Coturnix japonica: one gene and its partners. The protein of the gene in region 1 binds, or shares a complex with, the protein of each later gene. Links are inferred from orthologs where the notes say so. Each region holds a gene or a part of one and is shown in the gene's direction. Other genes may lie near its edges.

The links.
Region 2: SRSF1 (region 1) and PA2G4 share a complex: the UniProt entries of both Homo sapiens proteins name them as parts of the ribonucleoprotein complex. The link is inferred for Coturnix japonica from reciprocal best matches to the Homo sapiens genes SRSF1 and PA2G4.
Region 3: SRSF1 (region 1) and DDX5 share a complex: the UniProt entries of both Homo sapiens proteins name them as parts of the ribonucleoprotein complex. The link is inferred for Coturnix japonica from reciprocal best matches to the Homo sapiens genes SRSF1 and DDX5.

The regions. Positions count from the first base shown.
Region 1 is NC_029534.1:7,446,057-7,451,560, forward strand, and holds the start of SRSF1 (serine/arginine-rich splicing factor 1), read left to right. Parts: upstream 1-2,165; 5' UTR 2,166-2,321; coding exon 2,322-2,515; intron 2,516-2,858; coding exon 2,859-3,043; intron 3,044-3,400; coding exon 3,401-3,573; exon of another isoform or gene 3,574-3,842; coding exon 3,843-4,037; 3' UTR 4,038-5,504. UniProt on the Homo sapiens protein: Plays a role in preventing exon skipping, ensuring the accuracy of splicing and regulating alternative splicing.
Region 2 is NC_029544.1:857,274-862,514, forward strand, and holds the start of PA2G4 (proliferation-associated protein 2G4), read left to right. Parts: upstream 1-2,088; 5' UTR 2,089-2,235; coding exon 2,236-2,323; intron 2,324-3,720; coding exon 3,721-3,849; intron 3,850-4,339; coding exon 4,340-4,445; intron 4,446-4,680; coding exon 4,681-4,750; intron 4,751-4,941; coding exon 4,942-5,034; intron 5,035-5,241. UniProt on the Homo sapiens protein: May play a role in a ERBB3-regulated signal transduction pathway. Seems be involved in growth regulation. Acts a corepressor of the androgen receptor (AR) and is regulated by the ERBB3 ligand neuregulin-1/heregulin (HRG).
Region 3 is NC_029533.1:7,249,460-7,254,834, forward strand, and holds the start of DDX5 (probable ATP-dependent RNA helicase DDX5), read left to right. Parts: upstream 1-1,702; 5' UTR 1,703-1,813; coding exon 1,814-1,845; intron 1,846-3,253; coding exon 3,254-3,419; intron 3,420-3,550; coding exon 3,551-3,647; intron 3,648-3,730; coding exon 3,731-3,864; intron 3,865-3,982; coding exon 3,983-4,048; intron 4,049-4,501; coding exon 4,502-4,643; intron 4,644-4,738; coding exon 4,739-4,899; intron 4,900-5,064; coding exon 5,065-5,237; intron 5,238-5,375. UniProt on the Homo sapiens protein: Involved in the alternative regulation of pre-mRNA splicing; its RNA helicase activity is necessary for increasing tau exon 10 inclusion and occurs in a RBM4-dependent manner. Binds to the tau pre-mRNA in the stem-loop region downstream of exon 10.

The DNA.
Region 1 (5,504 bases):
TGATAACACAGAGCTCAACAAGGGAATGAGAAAGAAAACATCCAATAATTCTATAAAGAGACACTTCATTAAAGCAATTAAGGCAATCATTTAAAGTAGTTATAAGGACTATTAACACACAAAAGAAATTGTGCAGCAGGGTTTTAGCAAACCAGGCAGATTCACCATTATCTTATGACGCCTTTAAGAATAACATCCAGCATTTATTAAACCCCATTCCCAGGCTTAGGCTGCAGCTTTCTCCAGACATGGGGAGAGTTTGTTTGGGGTCTTTGCAACCAGTTCACACTGGAAAGCATTAAAGCTCCATAAAGATGCAGGAAATCCCCCAGAACCATGAGCTGTATGTGGGTAAAGCACCGCTTCTGCTGGTGGGCTTTGCTCATCACATCCTCCTGTGGTTGACAGCAGTCTTTAAAGCACCAGCAATGCAGCACAGGCATCACTAATGTCAGAAACCATTAGAGCAGAGGACGTTACTGCACTTTAACCCACAGGGACAAAAATAAAAGGCATTGATAATAACCAAGCACACTATAACTTTGTCATGAAAATGTTTTCACTATGGGATGTTTTCTAACTGTAAGTCACTGTCTGTGGGAGGAATACACGCTTTGAATTAACAAATGAAAACAAAGTGAGCACAACAGCCACTGCTAAATGCTCGGACACATTCCTCAAACTCCCCTCATCAACTCAGGAGCATAATGGCTTTTCTCCATGCTCAGCTGCTGTTTCCCCATCCCTGTGGTGCTGAGATTCAGCCCTCCAGCACCAGGCAGGCTCAGCGGTGCTGGATGCAGGCAGGCAACCACTGTGTGCCCCAGTGCCACTTCCAGCCCTCAATGCATTGCCACATCTGCAAAGCAAAGCACAACGTCCAGGCAGCCAAGTGTGAGCCAACAGAGCAGGGACTGCTCTGCCCTCATGGGTCAGGCAAAGACTTTATGCTGTATTAAAGAAAGAAAAGTGGATGTTGGAGTTTCTGTGTCACCACAGAGCAGCTACAGGCCAAAAGAATTCTTGTTGTTAAACCAAAGCCTGGCTCATCTAATTGCACCCTCATTACTTAAAAGCAATTTATACGTTCAAAATTACATCTGCTGCCTGAAGAAATGTCAGAGACGTGTGAGTAACAAGGGTAACATCCCGGTGTGTTACTGTGCCTTCACATCAATTACAACCTCATCAAGAAAACAAACTCAGCACGGCGTTATTCTCGTGCCCCCATAGTTCGGCTGTGCTCATAGGAAGGTTCTGCCCATAGTTAGGCTGTGCCCTTAGGCCGGCTCTGCTCACACCCGTACACAGCGCCCGCCATCGCCCCCAGTTCCGCTCGTTTCCCACCCGCCCGGTGTTTGCACTGCTGTTCCATTCATGACTCAGTCCCCATCACACCCTGCCGTGTTCCTGCCCTTTATTCGTATCCCGTTGCCGTCCCGCTGCCCGCCCCGCCGCGTTCCCCTGAGGCGGGCGGTGACGCGGTGCCCGCTCCGTGCCCTCGGGGCGGCCATTTTGCCTCCGCACCGAGCCCGTCCCAACCGTCCCACACAGTGTCCGCTGAGCGGCTGACGGACCCACACGGCCCGCTCCCCGTGCACCCCGTGCAGCCGCAGGGCGGATCCGCCCGCAGCGCTTCGTGCGGACACGGATCGGTTCGGACCGGCCGGGAATGGACGCTCAGTACCGAGCCCGCCCGCCCAGCGCTGCGCACGGCCCGACCCGCCCGCGGTGCATTGTGGGCCGGGCCACGCCCCGCGCCTTGGCGCCAAGAGCCCCGAGCGGCGCGGTGCATTGTGGGACACCCCCAGCGCCGGCCGGGACTTCTTGGCGCGAGCGCCGCACCGGAAGTGACGTCACACGGCCCGGCGCCCTGAGACGGCAGCGGAAAGAAGCGCGGCGGTCCCGGTGCGGACAGCGGGGATCGGAGGCGGATATTCACGTTCATCCCGACCTCGCTGGCAGGAGCGGAGCCTCTTGTGCGGCCACAGCCGCTTTGGCGGAGCAGCGGAGGCGAAAGGCAAAAGAGAGGAACTACTTTTCCGCGCTGCCGCGCATGCGCGAGGGCGAGAGCGCGGCGGGATACTCGGAACGCATTGCGGTCTCGCGGCCCGGCGGTGCTGCGGCGCGGGGTGAGAGAGATCAGTGCGCGAGATCAGTGCGCGCTGCGAGCGCGAGGGGAGCCGCGGTCGCCATTTTGAAGCGGCGGTTGCTGGAGTCGCCGTGTCCGCTCCCGTCCGCACGGCCCGGCCCCGCGCCCGCCCGCCCGCCCGCGCTCCGCGCCCCGGCCCCTGAACGCCGCAGCCATTGCCGACCTCGGCATGTCCGGAGGGGGCGTGATCCGCGGCCCGGCCGGCAATAACGACTGCCGCATCTACGTGGGCAACCTGCCCCCCGACATCCGCACCAAGGACATCGAGGACGTGTTCTACAAATACGGCGCCATCCGCGACATCGACCTGAAGAACCGCCGCGGGGGGCCGCCCTTCGCCTTCGTGGAGTTCGAGGACCCGAGGTGAGCGCCGCGGGGCCCTGGGGCACGGGCGGGAACGGCTCCGCCGGGCGCCGATACCCCCCCCCTCCATTCCCTCCCTTCCTCCACGCGCGGCGCCGCTCCCGCTGCGCGCTATTCCACACACACACACACACACACACACACACACACACGCTCGGCTCGTTGCGCTCCGGGCCCGGCGCGGTGCCGCCGCTGGGGGTGGCGGTGATGGCGGTGATGGTGGTTGTGGTGCTGATGGTGGTGGTGGGGGCGGGGTGGGGCCGCGGGTATTGGGAACAAAGGCGCTGCGGGGGGCGGCGCGTGGCAGGGCGCGGCCGCGCTCACCGCCCGTCCCGACCCGCAGGGACGCCGAGGACGCCGTGTACGGGCGGGACGGTTACGATTACGATGGGTATCGCCTCCGCGTGGAGTTCCCTCGCAGCGGCCGGGGGACCGGCAGAGGAGGCGGCGGCGGCGGAGGGGGCGGAGCCCCGCGGGGCAGATACGGCCCCCCGTCCCGGCGATCGGAGTACAGAGTGATCGTCTCGGGTGAGTCGCTGCTCTCTTCCCCCGGGTCCTTCGTGCTGCCGTGCGCGGGGGGCGACGCGGCTCCGCTTTTCCCTGCGAAGCCTCGGGATGGGGGAGGGGTGCTGGATGCTGTGGGCTGTGTGCAGGGTGTTCTGCTCGTGTGCTGCGGGATGATGCTGGAATTGCAACACCGGAGGCCTTGGGTTCGAATCCCCTGTGGCGCAAGTGGCAGAAGTGCCGCTCTGCTACACAGAAGGCTCAAATCGCGGGGGGTTGGACTCGATGATGTCTAAGGTCCCTTCCAACCCGCACGAGACTGTGATACTATGATATGATCGCACCATTGGGTTTTAAAGCCAGGTGTTGCTTTTTATCCAGGACTGCCTCCAAGTGGAAGTTGGCAGGATTTAAAGGATCACATGCGTGAAGCAGGTGATGTATGTTATGCTGATGTTTTCCGAGATGGAACTGGTGTCGTGGAGTTTGTACGGAAGGAAGATATGACCTACGCTGTGCGAAAACTGGATAACACTAAGTTTAGATCTCATGAGGTAGGTTTCACGCTTACTTGTTTTTGGCCAGAATTGGATACAAAGGGCTTAACAGTAGGATGTGAAGGTAAGGAATGTGTGGTGATCATTGCGTTAATACACGAAGCAGCTAAACTGAGTCTGCTGTCAGTTTGTCACGAAATAGACTTTATTAAGAGTTTGATGTCTATTTCTGTGCCTTAGTAAAGATATCTGCAGTCTGTCAGCATGCCTAAAACGATGGCCCCGAAGCCTAGACCTTTCAATCGAAAGTTGTGTCTATTCAATAGGGAGAAACTGCCTACATCCGTGTTAAAGTTGATGGTCCAAGAAGTCCAAGCTATGGAAGATCTCGGTCACGCAGCCGTAGTCGTAGCAGAAGCCGTAGTCGAAGCAACAGCAGAAGCCGCAGTTATTCCCCAAGAAGAAGCAGAGGATCTCCACGCTACTCTCCCCGCCACAGCAGATCCCGATCTCGTACATAAGCGATCACTAGCTCTGATCTTTTTGTAGAACCCCATGTTGTACACAGTTTTCCTTTACTCAGTACAGTCTTTCAATATTATTTTTTTTTAAATTCAAGCTGTTTTATTCAGATTGGCTGAAGTGTTGAATTGCATTCTTGTGTAAAATCCCTAGTGAGTATTTGCTCCGTAACAACAACATTCCCCCTCATGTCTTTGGTAAACTGTATTTTAATTGATGTCAGTCAGGATTGTTTCAATTTAGTTCTAGTTAAATACCAACACTCTTCAAACTGTGGTATTGCTGTGTAAATGTCTCAGTGTTCAGCTATGGTTCATGCGAGCTGGGGATGTTGGGATGTTTGTGGCTAACTTGTCTCTTCTGGGGGATCTTATATTTTATCTTGCCTTTTCGTGTGTCTTTCTGTAGACATATCTGAAGAGATGGATTAAGAATGCTTTGGATTAAAGGATTGTGGAGCACATGTCAATCATTTTAGGATTGTCAAAAGGAGGATTGAGGAGGATCAGATCAATAATGGAGGCAATGGTATGACTCCAAGTGCTATTGTCACAGATGAACTTGGCAGTATTGACCTTATACTGAGACAGGTGAATTGAGAACGTGCGCCTGCGTGTCACTTCTTCAGGCACCTCTTGGTCACTGCGGGCTGCAATTGCTCTGTTCTTTAAAACCCTCTTGGCAATTGTGGCTCAGTACTTGCCGGTGTAATTCCTTATTCCATTCTAGTCTTTTTTTAAAGGAGTAAACCGGGACAGGGGTGGGAGCATTGGTTTGTCCCGCGGCATTTGGTTCCAAGCGTTAACGGCCCGCAGTACTTCCACGCTTGCGGATCAAGGGTATCTTTAAATGGGAGTATAATATCAATACTGCTAAAATCTGCATGTCCTCTGTGTGACTGATACAGCGTTGCTATTTCATTTCTTTTAAGTATCAGAATGAAAGGGAAAAAAGCCAAAAACCCAAATCCTAAGAGAACCTGGTTGGGAATCGTTTGTCAGCCCTTCCCCAGCCTAATTCAGAGCTGACTCACCGTATTGAGAGCTGCAGTTAGTTCCTCTGTTACCTTCCAGCCGGGGGTGCTGGCCGTAGCTGAGAGGCGCAGTAGGTGACAGCTTTAGCAGTAAAACTTTTCCAATTTCATAAACATTTTTTGCAACCACAGAAGCTGTAGAGCACCACCGTACGAGCAATGAGTATGTTGGCATTTTTAGTTGACATATGTAAATATTGCAGTGTTTCCTCCAAATAATTAACGTTTCTTAAAGAGAACAAAAGATATAGCATCACCATTCAGAAGCTTGTTTTGGGGAATTGATAGTTATTACTGTACATCTGTATTAATTGATGGCAAACATAACTGATCATTCCCCAGAATCCTATTTTTTCATTGCGGTATCTAACTTTTTGCCTCCTCTTTTTTGGTTTTGCTGGTTATAAAGGTTTGGATTGGAGAGGGCTCACTG
Region 2 (5,241 bases), on another chromosome or scaffold:
GACGAGGAGTACGAGTACATGAACCGGCAGCCTGGAGCCTCCCTACAAGCCCCCCCACCACGGCCAGCATCGCTGGAGGAGCTGGGCTACGAATACATGGAGGTGGGCTCAGAGCTGGGCAGCCCCACAGGGCCCCCCCTGGGCCGTGGGGAGGAGGAGGAGGACTACGAGTACATGAACAAGCAGCCGCGGCTGAGCCGCTCGCTGGGCAACATGGTGGGGGGGCTGGGACCCCGGCATGAGGGCTGCCCCCCCCGACACGACGGCTACACTGACATGAGGCCTGGGGAGCCCACCCCGGCCCCAGCTGAGGAGCAGGGCTATGAGGAGATGGAGGCGGTGCTGGCCCCCCGTGGCCCTCCCTGCCCCGGCTGCCGCAGCCCCCCCGGACCCCCTCCAACCTGCATGAAGCCCCTGCGCAGCCTTGAGGCCTCAGACTGTGCCTTCGACAACCCCGACTACTGGCACAGCCGCCTCTTTGCTAAGGTGGATGCCCAGCGGACTTAGAGACCCCCCCCCCTCAGCTGTTTACACTGGATATGAAGGATCATCCCCCCTACACTGGTGCTGGATGGAGGGTGTGAGACAAAGCCCCATGGGAGACATGAAGAATGGGATTGAGGGGGGGGGAGGGCAGCCCTGCCTGGGTTTGGGGCTGATTCTGAACCCCCCATTGGGAGGGGGGGCTTGGACCCCTCCCCTCATTACTGCCATACCCCAGGGCTATTCCCAGCACCCCCCTACCCATGGTGCTCCCCATGTGCACGGCTGCAGCAGCAGGTCCTGGCTGGGGTCGGGGGTCCCTGCTTTGAGTTGGGGTCCCTGCTTTGGGGTTGGGGTTGGGGGCCCTACCTGTGGGGTTGGGGTCCTCCCCTCATTACTGCCATACCCCAGGGCTATTCCCAGCACCCCCCCCCCCCATGGTGCTCCCCATGTGCAGGGCTGCAGCAGCAAGTCCTGGCTGGGGTTGGGGGTCCCTGCTTTGGGGTTGGGGATCCTGCTTTTCAGTTGGGGTCCCTGCTTTGAGTTGGGGTCCCTGCTTTGGGTTGGGGTCCCTGCTTTGAGTTGGGGTCCCTGCTTTTCAGTTGGGGTCCCTGATTTGGGGTTGGGGGCCTTACCTGTGGGGTTGGGGTCCTCCCCTCATTACTGCACATACCGCCAGGCTTATGCCCAGCACCCCCTCCCCATGGGTGCCTCCCATGTGCAGGGCTGCAGCAGCAGGTCCTGGCTGGGGTTGGGGATCCTGGCTTTTTCAGTTGGGGTCCCTGCTTTTTCAGTTGGGGGTCCTGCTTTTTCAGTTTGGGTCCTGCTTTACTCAGTTGGGGTGCCACTGATTTGGGGTTGGGGGCCTTACCTGTGGGGTTGGGGTCCTCCCCTCATTACTGCCATACCCCAGGGCTATTCCCAGCATCCCCCCTCCCCATGGTGCTCCCCATGTGCAGGGCTGGGGGCGGGGGTCCCTGCTTTGAGTTGGGGTCCCTGCTTTTGGGTTTGGATCCCTGCTTTGAGTTGGGGTCCCTGCTTTTGGGTTGGGGTCCCTGCTTTGGGGTTGGGGTCCCTGCTTTGAGTTGGGGTCCCTGCTTTGGGGTTGGGGGCCCTACCTGTGGGGTTGGGGTCCTCCCAGCTGCCGTGGATGGGGGCCCTGCTTCTTTCCTTCCTTTAGGGGTTGGATTGAAGGCTAACTCTGACTGCAGGCCGCGCTACCCCAGCACCCAACGGGGCTCTATGGGGCAGGCCTGAGCCGTGCCCGTAGGCCTCATAGAGGCCTTTTCAATGCACTCCGGTCACCTCCCCGCTCCAAAGGGGGAGGGAGTCGGGTTTCGTTTGTTAACGTGAAAATAAACACGATTGGAATAGAACCGGCTGCTGGTGTGTGATGTGATGGGGGGGATATAGGGGCTAAAAGGAAAGGCCTACCAAGGGCTGAGACCCCGACCTGAGCCCACTAGGCCCAACACAAGTCCTTCACTTCCGCCATCCGGCCCTACTTCCGGTTGGATAATCCGCGCTGCCTTCTGGGAACGGTAGTCCTTAGCTGGGCCTTGCCGCGAGTACTGCCGGGAGTTTATGTAGTCCTGAAAGTGGGAGGAGACTCGGCTTCCCAGCGTGCCCCGCGCGGAGCCCGCGCTCCTGCTCAGCTCGCGCTCTCTCGCTCGCGTTCCCGGGGTCTCCTCAGAGCGGCGGCGGCGGCGTCGGGGGGGGGGAGAACGGGCGGCACCGGCGGCAGCTCCGAGTATGTCGGCCGAGGAGGAGGCGGCCGAGCTGACCATCGCCGAGGACCTGGTGGTGACCAAGTACAAGATGGGGGGGGACATCGCCAACCGTGAGTGCAGGGCCGCGGGGCTGAGGGCTGGGGGGGGGCTGCGTGGCGTTAGGCCTCACGGTGTGTGTGTGTAAATAGGGGGGGGTGGTCCCGGTAATACACACCGATGGCGGCTGTTGAAGGGCCGGATCCTGGTGTTAAGGGGTGGGGAACCGCACGTGGCCTCCGCTCCCCACGTGCACCGGGATGGGGGGGGGGAGGGCAGGGCAGGGCCGGGCCCGGCGGGATCCACGCGGTTTTCCCCCGTCCCGAGTGGATCCGATCGGTTCCTCCCGGTATAAACGAGTGCTGGGCTCGGCCACGAGGCCACGGAGCCCCCCCGGTCTTTTGTTCCCACCCCCCCCCCCTCCTCCTGCCGGGATCACTGCCATGAACACTACATGGACACTGCCCTGTCCCCCCCCCCAACCCTCTGCTGTTTGCTCGTTTATTTCTGCCCACAGCCGTTCCCTCTTGGCCCCTTCACGGTGCTCCCCGAGCCATAAGGACGTGGGATCCTCTCAGGAGGGGCTATAGGGGCCGTACTACCTACATACAACGCAGCCCCGGGGTGGGATGGGGTCATTGCGCTGTTGTTGCTGCCCTGAATGCAGCTCGATTAACAGCAGAGGGTTTCCCTGCTTGGTAGAGTGGTGCCTATGGGACACAGAGCAGCTCAGAGGGGTTCCCTGCTTAGTGTGACAAACACCAGCTCTCTGTCTACCCTTCCTTAGGTAGGTAAGGATAATAATGCCCCTTGTTCTCACCTTTCAGCCCCTTGCTATCAACTAAAGGTCTTTATTACAGCACTCCCTCTTATATTCCTCACCAACATCTGGGACCTGTGGAAAGATTACTGAAGTAATATGAAGCATAACTGCAGTGCTGGGCTCACAATCCTTCCCCTCATTCTATAGAGGCACGTTGACACCCATCCCAGCAGCCAACTACTAATTGTACACACCACAATATGCCCCAGTGTGGGTGCAGCGCTGCCGTACACACACAGTTGTGCAGAGTAAGGGCGGTTTCCTCCTGGTCCCACACGCCCGCGGCTGCCCCTCTGCTCTTTGATGTGCTGTTCGTCTCCCAAGCAGTTTTCAAACCTGTTCCTGTAGCTCTGAGTGCTGCGGAAGGAATGTGGGAGAGCAGTGTTTCTGCTCAGCTCCTTTGTGTGCCAACCCTCCGTGCACCTCGTGAGGCTGCAGTGCTTCACCTGTGCACGTCCCAGCATAAGTTGGTTTGCTCCTGCCTTGGTTCTCAAGAGGCAATATGGATTGAAATGGGTTCTCTGCATATCTCCAGCTCACTCAGTGCAAAGCTGAATCCAGGATGAAGACTAAAGTCATTAACAAAGCAGACTTGGTGCTGTGTGATGAGCTTGGTTAACGTGTTCCATGTCTTGCGTTGCTTTACAGGGGTCCTACGTGCTGTGGTCGAGGAGGCGAACTCGGGAGCATCGGTTCTGTGCTTGTGTGAGAAGGGAGATGCCATGATCATGGAGGAGACGGGCAAAATCTTCAAGAAGGAAAAAGAAATGAAAAAAGGTGAGGCCTGCACACCAACGTGGGTCACTGGGCTGATCCTGCTGAGCTGACATGAGTGGGCAGCAGTGCAGAAACCCAACTCGTCCAGCTTGTCCTGCTTGGAAGCATCACTGCTGAGCTGGTGCTTCCCAGTTCAATGCTCCACTCACTGAAATAAAAGAGTTACTTTGGATAACAGTGTCCTTCCTTTGGGCAAGGCCGGCCCTGTGCTCAGCAATCAACCTGTAGCTGCCATATAAACAGTGTGACACTTGAGTGTGTCACTGAGTTGAGTGTGGAGAGTTGGGGTCCCTTTTGTACACGTCTTACTGCTGAGGATCAATTTGTTTGATAGCTGCTGGGGCAGGAGAGTGCCACACACTGCTCTCCTCGTGCTGTTTCACCAAGGGATTATTCAGTGGGGCACCTTAGCTTTCCAAAGCTCAAACTTAGTGACAATCCACACTGCCTGTACTGTGTCTTCATGGACTATTCTCTTTCTCCTTTACAGGTATTGCCTTCCCAACGAGTATATCAGTAAATAACTGTGTCTGTCACTTCTCCCCATTGAAGAGTGACCAGGACTACATCCTCAAAGATGGAGACTTGGTCAAAATGTAAGCATCTTCATTATGTTTCTCTTGCATCAATGCTTGCTCTTGGCATCCAGGCTTTGCATTTTAGTCCTGTTTGCTGTGTTAAGTACTTCCTCGACGTGTCTAATTACAGAATATAGCAGCTAATCGAGTCAAGCTTTATTAAATATACCTGCATCTTCGAATGCTTTGAGAAGTCACACCAGTTTCCCGAGCCATTAGGCCTCGCCTGTAATTAACTCTCTTTGTGTTGCAGTGACTTGGGAGTCCACGTCGATGGCTTCATAGCAAATGTAGCACACAGTTTTGTCATAGATGCCTCAAAGGTAGGTTGGCCACAGGTTTTCTTTAACAAGGGAAGGGACTAATGGCAGAGCTGGGAAGCCAGAAGTGCTCCTGCTCTCATTTAGATCCCACACACTGTATCTCTATCTTTAGGCAGCCAGAATGGCAGTCTTGCTGATAAGAGGGAAAAGGAGTTGTTCCCTACAAGCCTTTATTTTTCCTCTTCTTTCAGGAAAAACCTGTGTCAGGCCGTAAAGCTGATGTCATCAAGGCAGCTCATCTCTGCGCTGAGGCCGCGCTGCGTTTGGTAAAGCCTGGAAACCAGGTGAGGGAAACAGGGTGTGTGAGTGTGCCCTGATACAGGGAGAGCTCTGCAAAGATGGGCTGTGCATAAAAATATAAAGGCCTGTGACATCGCCTGGGAAGAATGGCCCATCTATGTGGGGAATCTGAAGGCAGCTGTTTGCAGACAGCTGAGTGCTCCTGGGAGCACCAGGGTGGGTAGCAGCAGCTCTGGATCCCTGTAAGGACC
Region 3 (5,375 bases), on another chromosome or scaffold:
AGAGACAAAGTTATAAATAAACAGATCGGAGTGAGCTGTGCTAAGCTGCGTGAAGTAAGAATAAGAAGAGGCCGGATAATTTGCTGCTAACTTTCAGAGCCTTCACGCAGCCTGTTTGCAGATCCATCAGGAGGGTGGGTAGGTATGGAGTGTTAAATGGGGTATTTGAGGGGATAAATGGGGTATTTGAGGGGATAACTTCGGAGCTTGTTTCTTTGTGTCAGTGACTCCTATTGAAAATCAACACCCAGGAGGATCCACAATATAAAATCGTTAGGAAACAATTCGTGCCAAATCAAACCATCATTATGCTTTGTTTGTAAATCATTTGGGGGCCCAGATCTCAAATATTGAGTGTACTGTCAATGTGGAGGCAGGGATTGTTATAAGTGCTTATAAAGGAGGAAAAACAAGGTAGGCTGCAGCTTTGGCTGACAAGGGAGGTGATTCAGATGGTAGGAATATACACAAAAGGTATAAATAAATAGTGAACGATTCACTGATTTTGATAACTCGCTTCGTTTTGGGCCCCCTGTTCTTATCAGGAGGGGGTGTTGAATCGTAAATGCTATTCAGATAGTGTACAGTTAAACTGAAATGCAGTGCATGGTGTGTGAGGAGCTGGGAGTGGGATATAACACAATGTGTGTAGCTGTTAAACGCAGCTCTTGTTATTTTTGTTTCAGAAAAACCTCAGACCGTGAGTTCTGTGAGGAGGTGGGAGGATATAAATGGAGTGTGAAGGCATTTCTCCCTCCTTATGGTGTGTGTGCACTGGGCTGCCAGTAGAGCTGTTATGTACCAGGCCTCACCTCGTTGCTGTGCCCAGAGCCACAGGTGTGAGCTGTTGGTTCCTCCTGGGGCTCCCAAAGGAGGCAGATAAGCAGCGCAGCAGCCACGTCAGCTGCTCCATGTTTGCTGTGCTGTCAGCGCTGTCCCTGCGTGCACTGCTGCACTCCTGGTGACCTTTGAATGGCTGGGGAAAGTAAAAATAGTGACTAATAGTAACTGTATCCAATGCAGGTATGTGCAGCTTGGAAGCGTGCAGTGGGTAAGGGCAGGGTATGAGCGCGCTGCAGAGCATTTAATCCGGCTGCTCTCCTGATTATTTGTGGCCAACCTGTGAAGGCCGCGAGGATTTGCGCCTCTAACTCCTTTAATCGCCCGGAAAGCGAGAGCGGGGCTTCCAGTAACGATGACTGGATAACACAGCGACTGGATAACACAGCCCCGTTTATTTGGATAACACAGCCCCGTTTATCGCTCGGAGCCCTTGAGACCTTCCCCAGGTGGTTCCTCAGTGTCTGTGGGGCCGCAGCATCACCACACACACAGCATCTAACACAGCATCACCACACACGGCTGCGGCCCCTCATCTCCCACCCCGCCGTCCTCTCATCGCACCACTGCCCGCCCCACACCCCGAGGCCTCTCTTGGCCCCAGGCCCGGACCCGCCTCCTGACACCCGCAGTGCGCAGGCGCAGCCGCGGGGGGGGGGGAGGGGGGGAGAGGAGCGGGCGGTGTCGGCACAAGCCCCGCCCCCAAGGGAGGGGCACTTCCGGCGCGCAGCCCGTCAATCATTCCGAGGGGGCGGGGCATTGCGGCGGCTCGGGCCGCTTGTGTAACGGGGGAGGGATCTGCGCATGCGTCACCGCCCGGCTCCCAGCAGCCCGCGCGGCGCCGTATATAACCGGCATCGGGGCGGTGAGGCGTTCTACATTCTGTGGCCCCCACCGACGGCGCCGGATCGCGTCGTGCCCTTCGTCATCCTTTTTAGCGATCGGGACCGTCTCGCCCACCGCCACCATCGCCATGCCCGGGTATTCCAGCGACAGGGACAGAGGGTGAGTCCGGGGGCCCGGCCGGCGCCAGTCGCCGCCAGCGTCCGGACTCTCAGGGCGACCGCGGGGCTCCGCGCGCTGCTGTGGAAGCCGCTCAAAATGGCGGCCGGGCCCGTGGGCTGGGCCTGGAGCGCGGCTCCGCTTTGTGACTGCGGAGCTTCGTGGGGGCGGCGGGGGGGGATCGGCCTCGGCTCACGGCTCAGTTCACAGCTCGGCTCACGGCTCGATCCGGGGCAGCTGGGAGCAGTCATTGGGGGCGGCGTGTGTTGGAGCCGCTCGGGTGCGGGTGGTTGGCGGGGAGCTCCCCCACATCCCCCCCCTCGGGGGGCGGCGGGACGAGGTTTGTGTGTCAGTGGGTTGGCCGGGCGCTGCCGGGCGCTGCGCGATGGCGGAGCCTCGAGGAGCTGAGGGTTGGGCGGTTCCCTCTTCCTCCTTTTCCTGCCCTCGAAGGGGGTCGGCGGCTCGAGCTGTTGCTGGCAGGAGCCGGCCGGCTCCCGCTTTGTGTTGTGTCAGCGGATGTTAATGGCCGGCCCCGCCATGCGGTGACTGAGGGGAAATCAAAATGCCGGCTGCTGCTGCCGCCTTTGTTCCTCCTCCTCCACCCCCCCTCCCCCCCCGCCCAGCTCAGACTCTAAAATGGCAGCGCCTGGAAAATGTGGCGTAGACAGAAATGAGAGACAAAGGAAACAGCGCTGGCAGGAAGCAGCGGCCGCTCGGCTCGGTCCCCTCTGGGAGCGCTGTGCTGTGGTGCACGATCGCTCCCCGCACCCGGTGCCGGGCTGCGGCCGGACGGGGGGAGGCAGCTCCGCGCTCGGCTCCGGGTTAGCGCAGCTCCAGGGGCTCCATGCGGGCACTGAGCCGCGTCCAGCTGCGCTTTGGGGCTGCTGGGATCGGATGGGCTGCGCCGTGTCGCTGCTCAGAACAGAGGGGCACGAGGTTAATAAAACATTAACAGAAAACGCGTGTCCTCACAACGCACGGGCACTGAGAGGAGTTTGTCGTTTGGATACGTGGTAAAAACACGTAGAGGGAAGTTGTAGCCGGGTTTTGTAACAAGCCCTGCCTGCTTTCTGTAGGCTGATAAAATGGGAGTGTCAGTTGGGTAGGAAACCATTTTGATCATGGAGTAATACAGCGGTGTTCATGTTACTTCCTTACCTGTGCTGGATCTTGCCAGTAGGCCATTCTGTTTTATGGGAGCTGCAAAGTAATGCATTACTTCACCTTCTGAGTGTGAAGATAGGTGGATTGCTGCATCTGCCACTTAAGTTTTGAAAGCTTAATATCTCATAGGTGGGGTTGGTAACTCTGAACTGTGAAGTTACAGGGCATACCACAAAGACAGCGGTTACATAATAGCAAGAGGAGAACAAATTTTCTCTTGGATCCTAAATATTGATATATTCTCTAGGTTTGGAGCCCCTCGTTTTGGAGGAAGTAGAGCTGGTCCACTTTCTGGGAAAAAATTTGGAAACCCCGGGGAAAAGCTGACCAAAAAGAAATGGAATTTAGATGAACTGCCCAAATTTGAGAAGAACTTCTATCAAGAACATCCTGATGTAGTCAGACGAACTGCGGTATGTACCCACCCAGCTCACGCAGAAGTAAACAAGCACAAACATGCTTAAGGTCATGGGACCCAGCGTGCAGTAACTTCACTAACTTCCGTGCCAAAGCTGTTTCCAGTAATGAGGTTTTTCTTTTGCAGCAAGAGGTTGAGCAGTACAGGTCAAGCAAAGAAGTCACAGTGAGGGGCCATAACTGTCCAAAACCAATCATAAACTTCTATGAAGCTAACTTTCCTGGTAAGTGCTGGCCAACATATTGTTTTATTTTTTTCCTGTCTTGATTTACAACTTGTGAGTTAAGCTCTAATTTTCTCTTCAAGCAAATGTTATGGAGGTGATTCAGAGGCAGAACTTCACTGAGCCTACTGCTATTCAAGCACAGGGATGGCCTGTTGCCCTGAGTGGATTGGATATGGTTGGAGTTGCACAGACTGGATCAGGGAAAACGCTGTCTGTAAGTTGTGATTATGATGTGGTGTACTGCTGAAATCCAGCAATGAAAGTACAGCCTGGTGTAAGGCAGGCTGAGCTCCTGGGAAGAAACTATAATGTGGCTTTTTTCTTCTGAACAGTACTTGTTGCCTGCTATTGTGCATATAAATCATCAGCCATTCCTGGAGAGAGGAGATGGACCTATTGTAAGTATTCTGAACTGAAGGAGGACCTTAGCTGCTAGAGAAGGTGGATTTCTCACAGTCTAATTGTCCATGTTAATAGGAGTGCATAGTTCTTAATCATGGAAACCTTTTAAAGTGGCCCATGTGTGGTGTTTTGGGTTTCTCTTTTTCTAGTCTCCCAGGAACAGCCCATAAGCTCTGATACGGTTCTATAAAGTTTTACAGAACAGAGCTGCTCTTCCATTTTGGAACTTGCCATCCACTAGAAGCTACAGTGAATTTTGAGTATTTTATCACACATCACTGGCTTGTGTTTAGTAATGGAGATGTTACTTAACTTTGTTTACTTGGTTTGAGATACTCAGTTCTACTTCAGTCAGTCTGGCATTGAAGTGGTGTATAACAACTTTCTGAGTTAAAATGTAAGACTAGAAATTGCATTTATGGAACTAAATCTGGGCATCTTACCTCTAGTGTCTTGTGCTGGCACCAACTCGGGAACTGGCTCAGCAAGTGCAGCAAGTAGCTGCTGAATATAGCAGAGCATGTCGCTTGAAGTCTACGTGTATTTATGGAGGTGCTCCAAAGGGACCACAAATTCGTGATCTAGAAAGAGGTAAGGATAAATCTGGATGCATCTGTGTGAGGTGATGCGAAAACTGCTTATCTGACTTACTGGTTGATTTTTTTTTTTTCTTGTAATTTTTTTAGGTGTGGAAATCTGCATTGCAACACCTGGAAGACTTATAGACTTCTTAGAAGCTGGGAAGACCAACCTCAGGAGGTGCACTTACCTAGTGCTTGATGAAGCTGATAGAATGCTTGACATGGGTTTCGAACCTCAAATCAGAAAAATTGTGGATCAGATAAGAGTGAGTATAGATGGTAGCTGCATTTAATTGTACTACAGAAACAGCAGTGTTTGTTAAAACAAGGATAAGGATAGCGCAGTTAGCTCAGACTTCTGGGTAGACTTCTGTGTTTATGTTTTACTTAATGATATGTTAATTTTGTACTGATAAAATCTTTCTCTCCAGCCTGACAGGCAGACTCTGATGTGGAGTGCCACGTGGCCAAAGGAAGTCAGGCAGCTGGCTGAAGACTTCTTAAAAGAATATGTCCACATCAACATCGGTGCATTGGAACTGAGTGCAAACCACAACATCCTGCAGATTGTTGATGTGTGTCATGACGTTGAGAAGGACGACAAGTGAGTAGTTACTGGGGGAGGTAAAACACTCAGTATGTTTCTGACGGTTGATTTAACTTCTGTATCAACCGAGATGAGTTTAGTGGGTATTAAATGCTAATCTAATACTGCTAGAAGCCCTCCATGTTAAAAGGGGAA